3 linked regions of the Saccharomyces cerevisiae S288C genome follow. Changing the gene in region 1 together with any one later gene gives a genetic interaction. Each region holds a gene or a part of one and is shown in the gene's direction. Other genes may lie near its edges.

Region 1 (4,197 bases):
TGCACAGTATTTATAAATCACTCCTAACTTGGCTAATTCATCCAGGGAAAGTTCTGTTCCAGAATTGTGGGGTGCGCGATAATCGGAGTCAACCTTGTTGTCATGAATATATACCTTAACCATTCTAACTTTTGACCTTTTTACGACCTTTTTTAGTGTCTTGTTTGGTGGTTATTGTTTTTTTTGATCTGCAGATGCCACCCTCTTTGTTCTTTTATACTTTGATGTTTTTCAATATGCATATTTCGGTGTTAGCGACTCTACTGTGGCGTCGCCCTGTCGAGCGGCTCTTACAAGGGCCCTTTCAGTCGTCAATGCAAAGAAAACTGGCAGAAATTACCTTCATTGCGCCGTTATGCTATCTTGCCTCTCTCCTGTTATTTAGAAGGCATCTCACTATCTAGACAGACAATACGACTTGCGCACATGTGAATCATTAACAAGATCGTGATTATCGCTACTTCTGCATAGTTTATAGGGAGAAAAAGAGAAGGAAAAAATTGTGTCAAAAACGGGCCAGAATATAAAAAAAAAATATTAATTGAAGAGTAATATGGACTATCGTAAAATACTTGTACTGAACGAGCAGTTAGTCTTGATCTAGAAGAGATGAAAATACCGGTGGGCGGTCGTTCAATCTTCAGCAATTGCAATTTTTTTTACGCATGCAAGATATATGTATGACTTACTCGAGCAAAAATTTTTTGTGCGGGAAATCAAATTCGCTTCAGCCTATTATTTACGCACCGGCAAAGCCCTGAACAATAGCAAGACTCCGATATTTCAGCGAAAGCATTCTTTGCCTGCGTGGCTTTCGTCCGCGGTTATTATTACTGCGCCTGTTAGCAACGACGGAAGTCACTCGATTCTATTTGCTCGTAAAACTCTAAGAATGATAATGCCTATGTTTAGTCCGCTTTTCAACAGAAGTCCTGACGATTGCCCTTCTCATCTGACCGCTACCCATATCTTTCAGCAATTCAGCGCTATGCTGGATTACGGACAGAGTACAAAGGAAGCCACTAACAAGCGCAGGTTAATAAAGGGTTCTGACCTACTTGTTGCCTTGGATCGGAATTGTATTCCTTCAGCCCCCTTTGTCCCCGAAATTGCCCTGCGTAAAAGCGGCGCAGTGGGGTCCTAACGTTTATTCCTTCCAAAGCTTTCTCATGCCACATAGTGCTAAAATAAGTGGACGCATGGGTTTCCTGCACGGACTTCTTCAAAGCGACCTAAAAAGTCCGTTTCTAACTTCGCCTTTCCTCATTATATGCGGTTTACGCCCTTATCTATAAAGGGAAATAACCTCATACAGTAACATGTCCGCTTATTCCCGCATATTTTTCTCAGTTAAGCAACATTCATTTACGTCTCCTATTTTTGCTTAGAAGATGACTTGGTTACTTTATTTTCTTCTAACTGCTTAGGTAAACTACATCATCTAATATATAAAGACGCTTCCACCACATTTAACCAACGGAAACGTCTCTTCGCTGTAAGGTTCTACATTTATTAGGTTATACTAACTAATCAATTCTTCGTTCTTTTCTTAACATTTCTCTCTTTTTTCGTTCATATAACGTAAATTACACGAAGCTATCCATCCTAAGGGCAAACGGGAAAGAAAATAAAACAAAACCATGAAGTTGCAGAGTTTGTTGGTTTCTGCTGCAGTTTTGACTTCTCTAACAGAGAACGTTAACGCTTGGTCACCAAATAACAGTTACGTCCCTGCGAACGTAACCTGTGATGATGATATTAACTTAGTCAGAGAAGCATCTGGTTTGTCAGATAACGAAACAGAATGGCTGAAAAAAAGAGATGCATACACCAAGGAGGCTTTGCATTCTTTTTTGAATAGGGCCACTTCGAATTTCAGTGACACTTCCTTGCTATCCACTCTTTTTGGTAGCAACTCTTCCAATATGCCTAAGATTGCCGTCGCCTGTTCTGGTGGTGGTTACCGTGCCATGTTGTCTGGTGCTGGTATGCTTGCTGCTATGGACAATCGTACTGATGGCGCAAATGAGCATGGTCTTGGTGGGCTGCTGCAAGGTGCAACTTACTTGGCAGGTCTGTCGGGTGGTAACTGGTTAACAAGTACTTTGGCTTGGAACAACTGGACGTCTGTGCAAGCTATCGTGGATAATACAACAGAATCTAACTCAATTTGGGACATCTCTCATTCAATTCTTACCCCAGACGGCATTAACATCTTTAAGACTGGGAGTAGATGGGACGACATATCAGATGACGTTCAGGATAAAAAAGACGCCGGTTTCAACATCTCTTTGGCGGATGTTTGGGGCCGTGCTCTTGCGTACAATTTTTGGCCAAGCTTACACCGTGGTGGTGTAGGGTACACATGGTCAACTTTAAGGGAAGCTGATGTCTTCAAGAATGGAGAAATGCCCTTCCCTATCACTGTTGCAGACGGTAGATACCCAGGTACCACCGTGATAAACTTGAATGCCACTCTTTTCGAATTTAATCCCTTTGAAATGGGTTCATGGGACCCCACTTTGAACGCATTTACGGATGTGAAGTATTTAGGTACCAACGTTACAAACGGTAAACCAGTTAATAAAGGCCAATGCATTGCCGGGTTTGATAACACTGGTTTCATAACAGCCACTTCATCTACGTTGTTTAACCAATTTTTACTAAGATTGAATTCTACCGATTTACCTTCATTTATTGCTAACTTAGCCACCGATTTCCTGGAAGATTTATCCGACAATAGTGACGATATTGCAATTTACGCCCCAAATCCATTCAAGGAAGCTAATTTTCTTCAAAAGAACGCAACCTCCAGTATTATCGAATCAGAATATCTATTTTTGGTTGATGGTGGTGAAGATAACCAAAATATTCCTTTAGTTCCATTGTTGCAAAAGGAACGTGAACTAGATGTTATTTTTGCATTAGACAATTCTGCTGATACTGACGACTATTGGCCAGATGGTGCTTCATTAGTTAACACTTATCAGCGTCAATTTGGCAGCCAAGGTCTCAATTTGTCTTTCCCATATGTTCCAGATGTGAACACATTTGTCAACTTGGGGTTGAACAAAAAGCCAACCTTTTTTGGTTGTGATGCAAGAAATTTGACAGACTTGGAGTACATTCCACCATTAATTGTTTACATTCCAAATTCAAGACATTCATTTAATGGTAACCAAAGTACTTTTAAGATGTCATACTCCGATTCAGAACGTCTTGGTATGATTAAGAATGGGTTTGAAGCTGCCACAATGGGTAATTTTACTGATGATTCTGATTTCTTGGGCTGTGTTGGTTGCGCCATTATCAGACGTAAGCAACAAAACTTGAATGCTACATTGCCCTCTGAATGCAGCCAGTGTTTTACCAACTACTGCTGGAACGGTACTATTGACAGCAGGTCAGTCTCAGGTGTAGGAAATGATGATTATTCTTCTTCTGCTTCCTTGTCTGCCTCCGCCGCTGCTGCCTCTGCCTCTGCCTCTGCCTCTGCTTCCGCCTCTGCCTCTGCTTCTGGGTCTTCCACTCATAAGAAAAATGCGGGCAATGCTTTGGTGAATTATTCTAACTTAAACACTAACACTTTTATTGGTGTCTTAAGTGTCATTAGTGCCGTCTTCGGTCTAATTTAGGCTCTTTCTTCGTTTCTATTTCTTTTCTAAAAGAATACGAGAGTGAGAAAAGCGCAAAAATATCAACATACAAATAGTTTACGAGATCTCAAGTGCATACCGCATCTTATTTTTACAAACTCGAAATCTTACGAGCATTAACATTTACATACCGGGTGTCTTCCCTACATATATCTATCTATACAGATATGTTCATGCAGTACTTTCATCGAAGATATATAGATAGGTTTAAAGTGCAGAAGGAAAAAGCTAGGATTGCAGATATGCCATCTGCAGGCCAAATTTCACTTCCACATATCTGCACTGTTCATGAAAATGATCAGTTTCTTTCTTTCTTGCAGCTTTAGATAATCTGGTTTTTCTGCTTTTACACCTTAGAGATGAATCAAAGACACTCAATTCGGTTATACGACAAAGGGCGAACACAATGATGATTCTCACGACTAAATTAAGGACATACTTTTCAATGGTGATGCCTATAGAGAATTTACCGTCGCACCCAATGCAGCCGGTCTGGCCAAACTGGGAAATAAGGTTTTTCTTGGCTCGTATACGCCTTCGA
Region 2 (3,942 bases), on another chromosome or scaffold:
ATAAAACAGTGAGGACGGTTACTCGAGGTTTCAACAGGGGAAAATAAATTTATATGATGAATCAAGAGCCCCGTTCTTTTACCGTATTATCCTTCATACTACATACTAGGGAAAGAACTGAAAACTCCGCTACCTGCTGTAACAGCGCATAATAAAAAGCAAGAATATAGACAGTTACTGTTGTTTACGTTCTTTGATGACATCATTCTCATCAGACATACAGAAACACATCCTTTTTGTCTACCCCGTATTTATTCCAACTTCAAAGTATAGGTACCGTCCGGTTATACTCTCATATACTTTGTGGCAGTTTGCTTCTTTAAACCTTGTTAACCCAGAATATTTTCAGTGCAAAAAGCTTCCGATCCTCAAATACAGTGAGAGAAAAAGCAAACTTGTCTTCATTATTTTTCTGTTTGGCCCTGTCACGGTTCTTTTTATGGCCTTCTCGAAGGATATCCGTAGTCAATTATATTCACGTAGTTGCCAAAAGTAATTTTTGGAAAACTATTATTCCTCCGAGAAAACCTCACACAGAAATCCTTGCAGGTCTCATCTGGAATATAATTCCCCCCTCCTGAAGCAAATTTTTCCTTTGAGCCGGAATTTTTGATATTCCGAGTTCTTTTTTTCCATTCGCGGAGGTTATTCCATTCCTAAACGAGTGGCCACAATGAAACTTCAATTCATATCGACCGACTATTTTTCTCCGAACCAAAAAAATAGCAGGGCGAGATTGGAGCTGCGGAAAAAAGAGGAAAAAATTTTTTCGTAGTTTTCTTGTGCAAATTAGGGTGTAAGGTTTCTAGGGCTTATTGGTTCAAGCAGAAGAGACAACAATTGTAGGTCCTAAATTCAAGGCGGATGTAAGGAGTATTGGTTTCGAAAGTTTTTCCGAAGCGGCATGGCAGGGACTACTTGCGCATGCGCTCGGATTATCTTCATTTTTGCTTGCAAAAACGTAGAATCATGGTAAATTACATGAAGAATTCTCTTTTTTTTTTTTTTTTTTTTTTTTTTACCTCTAAAGAGTGTTGACCAACTGAAAAAACCCTTCTTCAAGAGAGTTAAACTAAGACTAACCATCATAACTTCCAAGGAATTAATCGATATCTTGCACTCCTGATTTTTCTTCAAAGAGACAGCGCAAAGGATTATGACACTGTTGCATTGAGTCAAAAGTTTTTCCGAAGTGACCCAGTGCTCTTTTTTTTTTTCCGTGAAGGACTGACAAATATGCGCACAAGATCCAATACGTAATGGAAATTCGGAAAAACTAGGAAGAAATGCTGCAGGGCATTGCCGTGCCGATCTTTTGTCTTTCAGATATATGAGAAAAAGAATATTCATCAAGTGCTGATAGAAGAATACCACTCATATGACGTGGGCAGAAGACAGCAAACGTAAACATGAGCTGCTGCGACATTTGATGGCTTTTATCCGACAAGCCAGGAAACTCCACCATTATCTAATGTAGCAAAATATTTCTTAACACCCGAAGTTGCGTGTCCCCCTCACGTTTTTAATCATTTGAATTAGTATATTGAAATTATATATAAAGGCAACAATGTCCCCATAATCAATTCCATCTGGGGTCTCATGTTCTTTCCCCACCTTAAAATCTATAAAGATATCATAATCGTCAACTAGTTGATATACGTAAAATCATGAATTCAACTCCCGATCTAATATCTCCTCAGAAATCCAATTCATCCAACTCATATGAATTGGAATCTGGTCGTTCAAAGGCCATGAATACTCCAGAAGGTAAAAATGAAAGTTTTCACGACAACTTAAGTGAAAGTCAAGTGCAACCCGCCGTTGCCCCTCCAAACACCGGAAAAGGTGTCTACGTAACGGTTTCTATCTGTTGTGTTATGGTTGCTTTCGGTGGTTTCATATTTGGATGGGATACTGGTACCATTTCTGGTTTTGTTGCTCAAACTGATTTTCTAAGAAGATTTGGTATGAAGCACCACGACGGTAGTCATTACTTGTCCAAGGTGAGAACTGGTTTAATTGTCTCTATTTTTAACATTGGTTGTGCCATTGGTGGTATCGTCTTAGCCAAGCTAGGTGATATGTATGGTCGTAGAATCGGTTTGATTGTCGTTGTAGTAATCTACACTATCGGTATCATTATTCAAATAGCCTCGATCAACAAGTGGTACCAATATTTCATTGGTAGAATTATCTCTGGTTTAGGTGTCGGTGGTATCACAGTTTTATCTCCCATGCTAATATCTGAGGTCGCCCCCAGTGAAATGAGAGGCACCTTGGTTTCATGTTACCAAGTCATGATTACTTTAGGTATTTTCTTAGGTTACTGTACCAATTTTGGTACCAAGAATTACTCAAACTCTGTCCAATGGAGAGTTCCATTAGGTTTGTGTTTCGCCTGGGCCTTATTTATGATTGGTGGTATGATGTTTGTTCCTGAATCTCCACGTTATTTGGTTGAAGCTGGCAGAATCGACGAAGCCAGGGCTTCTTTAGCTAAAGTTAACAAATGCCCACCTGACCATCCATACATTCAATATGAGTTGGAAACTATCGAAGCCAGTGTCGAAGAAATGAGAGCCGCTGGTACTGCATCTTGGGGCGAATTATTCACTGGTAAACCAGCCATGTTTCAACGTACTATGATGGGTATCATGATTCAATCTCTACAACAATTAACTGGTGATAACTATTTCTTCTACTACGGTACCATTGTTTTCCAGGCTGTCGGTTTAAGTGACTCTTTTGAAACTTCTATTGTCTTTGGTGTCGTCAACTTCTTCTCCACTTGTTGTTCTCTGTACACCGTTGACCGTTTTGGCCGTCGTAACTGTTTGATGTGGGGTGCTGTCGGTATGGTCTGCTGTTATGTTGTCTATGCCTCTGTTGGTGTTACCAGATTATGGCCAAACGGTCAAGATCAACCATCTTCAAAGGGTGCTGGTAACTGTATGATTGTTTTCGCATGTTTCTACATTTTCTGTTTCGCTACTACCTGGGCCCCAATTGCTTACGTTGTTATTTCAGAATGTTTCCCATTAAGAGTCAAATCCAAGTGTATGTCTATTGCCAGTGCTGCTAACTGGATCTGGGGTTTCTTGATTAGTTTCTTCACCCCATTTATTACTGGTGCCATCAACTTCTACTACGGTTACGTTTTCATGGGCTGTATGGTTTTCGCTTACTTTTACGTCTTTTTCTTCGTTCCAGAAACTAAAGGTTTATCATTAGAAGAAGTTAATGATATGTACGCCGAAGGTGTTCTACCATGGAAATCAGCTTCCTGGGTTCCAGTATCCAAGAGAGGCGCTGACTACAACGCTGATGACCTAATGCATGATGACCAACCATTTTACAAGAGTTTGTTTAGCAGGAAATAAACTAAACAAGCTCAATATGCATATTTTAATGACTTATACAGTATTTAATTTCTCAGTAAATTTTATAAAGGTGATATTATATTGGTGTTAAAACAAAATTCTTGTCAAATTCATAAACAGATGTTCTTTTCTTTGCTAGTTCTTGACCTTCACCAAGGAACAAGAAATTTCATTCTGGCACTCTTCCGAGGAAAAATTTTATATGATATAGTATGGGTTAATACCACATAGGCGCTATACATAGTTCAAACGCCCGCTTATGATTTCGGAAAAATGTCAAATGAATAGAAATTGACAACGCTGCTGCTTCAACATCTAGTAGTGTTACTTAAGCCTGTTAGGATGTTGTTTTTAGGTATTTATAATTACTAGCAATAATTTCCATTAACAGATAACCGAGTCGATCTCAATGGATATACAGTTGCCAATCATATGTATTTTCTGACTGGCACAGGGAGACACGAAAAACACTTGCTTGATAAGAGGTGAAGCAGTAAAGAAAAGACGACAAGTAAAAAAAAAATGACGAGAAAATGCACGCTACCATCGAAAAGGCGACCTT
Region 3 (3,623 bases), on another chromosome or scaffold:
ATCGCGAGGGCAACGCAAAACTAGCAAGATACACATATTCCATACATTAAAGCGGTAATTTTTAGTAGTTAATTTCGAAATTTCAAACCCGGCAATGATACGCACATTAAGAAAAGGGAAAAAAAAAAGAATAAATTGGCCATAGAAAAATTCTGTTATCCACTAGACAGAAGTTTGCGTTCCATACTGTCAGAGGTGGCATTTTACATAACAATAGTGACAAAAAATAAATTTCAGAAGGAAGGCAACATAAGTTTTTCTAATCCTAAAATCTTTCGATTTTGTATCAGAGATTGTTCACGCTAATGTCATTCATCATAGTAGATCATTTATCTTTCACTGCGGAGAAGTTTCGAACGCCGAAACATGCGCACCAACTTTCACTTCTACAGCGTTTGACCAAAATCTTTTGAACAGAACATTGTAGGGTGTGAAAAAATGCGCACCTTTACCGCTAGCCCAAGAGGGCACTACAAAATCTAGAGTTGTACTTCAAACGTACATGTAATCACCTTGTATATACTCGAAAGAAAACATCAAGTTTCTGTATAAATATGAGTGAAAGCATAATCATACATTATCTTTTCAAAGATGAAGAGTGGGTGAATTTTGAGATAATTGTTGGGATTCCATTTTTAATAAGGCAATAATATTAGGTATGTAGAAAGTACTAGAAGTTCTCCTCGAGGATTTAGGAATCCATAAAAGGGAATCTGCAATTCTACACAATTCTATAAATATTATTATCATCATTTTATATGTTAATATTCATTGATCCTATTACATTATCAATCCTTGCGTTTCAGCTTCCACTAATTTAGATGACTATTTCTCATCATTTGCGTCATCTTCTAACACCGTATATGATAATATACTAGTAACGTAAATACTAGTTAGTAGATGATAGTTGATTTTTACTCCAACAAAAGAATTACAGTCAGTGGCTGTTTGCTGACATTTCATTGCTTCCCTTACAACCTGATTTCCATTCGAGTTGAAAGGTTGAGAAAAATTGCAAGACTTCTCTCTCATCTACCTTCCCCTTTTCTTGAAGACAAGGTGAGAGACAATTTAGTACTAAAGCTTTTGCGGTTGTTATTCAATTGAGGTAGATACCTGGCAAAACATTTCTTGTGAGCACAACCTCAATTAAAGTTAGACAAGTAGGTGCACTATTGGTTGCTTGTTGGCTCATCTCGTTGAGGAATGTAATAACTACTTGTTATTAACCTGTTTTTGTGCCATCTATAGTGGAGAGCTTATTGCAATTTGTTTTTTATTTCTTGACTGCATATATCAGTCTTTGACAGGCTGCATGGGGATGACAGTTAGAAACTAGCCAAATTACCCCTTATGTAGATAACAATCATTGCTTATTCGCTCTTCCCCCATTTTTTTTCTTGCTCTTGCTGTTTTTTCTTTTAGCGTTCGTTTCAAGGAACAAGAGAGGGAAAAAAAAATCAAAAGTAGAAAAGAAGAAGAAAAAAACAACGTAACACAAGTTAACACCACAACTGAAAAAAAAAATAAGAGGTGAACGAACGAGTAACTGGGGAGAGGAAAGCAGATTACCACAATATACATTCAAATTAAAGAAATGGACTCACAACCAGTTGACGTTGATAATATCATCGATAGATTATTGGAAGTAAGAGGATCTAAACCTGGTCAACAAGTTGATCTAGAAGAAAATGAAATCAGATACTTATGTTCGAAAGCCAGATCTATATTCATAAAGCAACCCATTTTACTAGAGTTAGAAGCCCCAATTAAAGTATGTTAATGTTGAACTTCGCAGTCAAGAGATAGAATGCCTAGAGCTTCAGGTGTTTTATGTGTTCTACTCCTGTTGCGGCAGTAAGATAGTTACAGCAGTTATTTCCGTTTGACTGAAAGAATTTACCAAGCATCTGATGTTAGCCTACTCATATGTCGAGATAGCCGAGATAATGTGTGTGTTTAGCTCTTCATTTTTCTATCTTATTAGGCATTTTTTTACCAAGATTTCCTTATGTTTTGTATCATCATCCGGCCGGCGCCTCCCATATTCAGAAAAATCCCCCTTGCTCACACTAAAAAAAGAAGGCATTTTTTCGTTATGAAGAAAACGAATCTTTTTTTTTTTTGAGCCCGAGAGAAAGGTCGGACGAAAACCAAGAAATGTGGATTTGCAGAAGGCATTGGGAGAAATGAAGCGTTTTTGACAGCAGTAATTGTTCTCTTAAAGTCAACGGAATGAGCTAGATTTAGTGACAAATTCATTTACTAACTTATTTTTTTCTATTTTTTTTTTTTTTAGATATGTGGTGACATTCATGGGCAATACTATGATTTACTACGTCTATTTGAGTACGGTGGATTCCCGCCAGAATCTAATTATCTATTTTTGGGTGATTATGTCGACCGTGGTAAACAATCCTTAGAGACTATTTGTCTATTACTGGCTTACAAAATTAAGTATCCAGAAAACTTTTTCATTTTAAGAGGGAACCATGAATGTGCTTCCATTAATAGAATTTACGGGTTTTATGATGAATGTAAGAGACGTTATAATATCAAACTTTGGAAAACTTTCACGGATTGTTTCAATTGTTTACCAATTGCTGCAATTATTGATGAGAAAATCTTCTGTATGCATGGTGGTCTCTCACCAGATTTGAATAGTATGGAACAGATCAGAAGGGTGATGAGGCCAACAGATATTCCCGACGTTGGCTTATTATGTGACTTATTGTGGTCAGATCCAGATAAAGATATCGTAGGTTGGAGTGAAAATGATAGAGGTGTTTCTTTCACTTTTGGTCCTGATGTAGTGAACAGATTTTTACAGAAACAAGATATGGAGTTGATTTGCAGGGCCCATCAAGTTGTGGAAGATGGTTATGAATTCTTTAGTAAAAGACAATTGGTGACACTTTTCAGTGCTCCGAATTATTGTGGTGAATTTGATAACGCTGGTGCAATGATGAGTGTTGATGAAAGTTTATTATGTTCTTTTCAAATTTTAAAGCCAGCCCAAAAAAGTCTACCAAGGCAAGCTGGGGGTAGAAAGAAAAAATAAATAGATTCACGTCCTAAATCAAAGTTTAAAAAGGAAAATACTTATTAACAAGAAGAGTAGTAGAAGAAAAATACAAGAAACATAAACGTAGAAAACTTTTAGTCAATTCTTTAAGCGAAGAATACGAAAGAAACATCAAGAAAACAAAGGAAGATGCAATCATCACTCGTCATATACACAAATAATTCCCTTTAGTGCAACAAACCGCGAAAAAGCATAAGAAACATAAAAAAAATATAAAAAAAAGGAGATAATAATAAGATGTGAAGGATTTGAATTAGTGGAAAAATGATAAGTCTACACTATTATTATTAACGAAATGCAATTTTTCTTTATTTTCTTTTATTACTATTATCATTACTATTATTATTAGTATTATTATTTTTTTACTTATTTTTATATTAAACTATGTTAAATTACTATATTATTATTTTGTCTAACTCTATATTGAGGCTGTCTTTCGTTGCACTGTTAAGAATGGTCACGTCTTCCTTTGGCTTTGAACCCTTTTATAAACAAGTTGGCCAAATCATTTAGTCAATCACGTCAACCTGTCTAAAAT

The links.
Region 2: mutations in PLB1 (region 1) and HXT1 together harm fitness more than expected from each alone (negative genetic interaction), as found in Saccharomyces cerevisiae (2 studies listed by BioGRID).
Region 3: mutations in PLB1 (region 1) and GLC7 impair growth when combined (synthetic growth defect), as found in Saccharomyces cerevisiae (one study listed by BioGRID).

Annotation. Positions count from the first base shown.
Region 1 is NC_001145.3:280,028-284,224, reverse strand, and holds PLB1 (lysophospholipase), read left to right. Parts: upstream 1-1,640; coding exon 1,641-3,635; downstream 3,636-4,197. Other genes in the region: ADI1 (acireductone dioxygenase (Ni2+-requiring)), read right to left, coding at 1-123; YMR008C-A (uncharacterized protein), read left to right, coding at 677-1,144; YMR007W (uncharacterized protein), read right to left, coding at 3,885-4,197. UniProt on the Saccharomyces cerevisiae protein: Sequentially removes both fatty acyl groups from diacylglycerophospholipids and therefore has both phospholipase B and lysophospholipase activities. It also displays transacylase activity.
Region 2 is NC_001140.6:290,351-294,292, reverse strand, and holds HXT1 (hexose transporter HXT1), read left to right. Parts: upstream 1-1,667; coding exon 1,668-3,380; downstream 3,381-3,942. UniProt on the Saccharomyces cerevisiae protein: Low-affinity glucose transporter. HXT1 is as well involved in the transport of mannose.
Region 3 is NC_001137.3:430,898-434,520, forward strand, and holds GLC7 (type 1 serine/threonine-protein phosphatase catalytic subunit GLC7), read left to right. Parts: upstream 1-1,597; coding exon 1,598-1,774; intron 1,775-2,299; coding exon 2,300-3,061; downstream 3,062-3,623.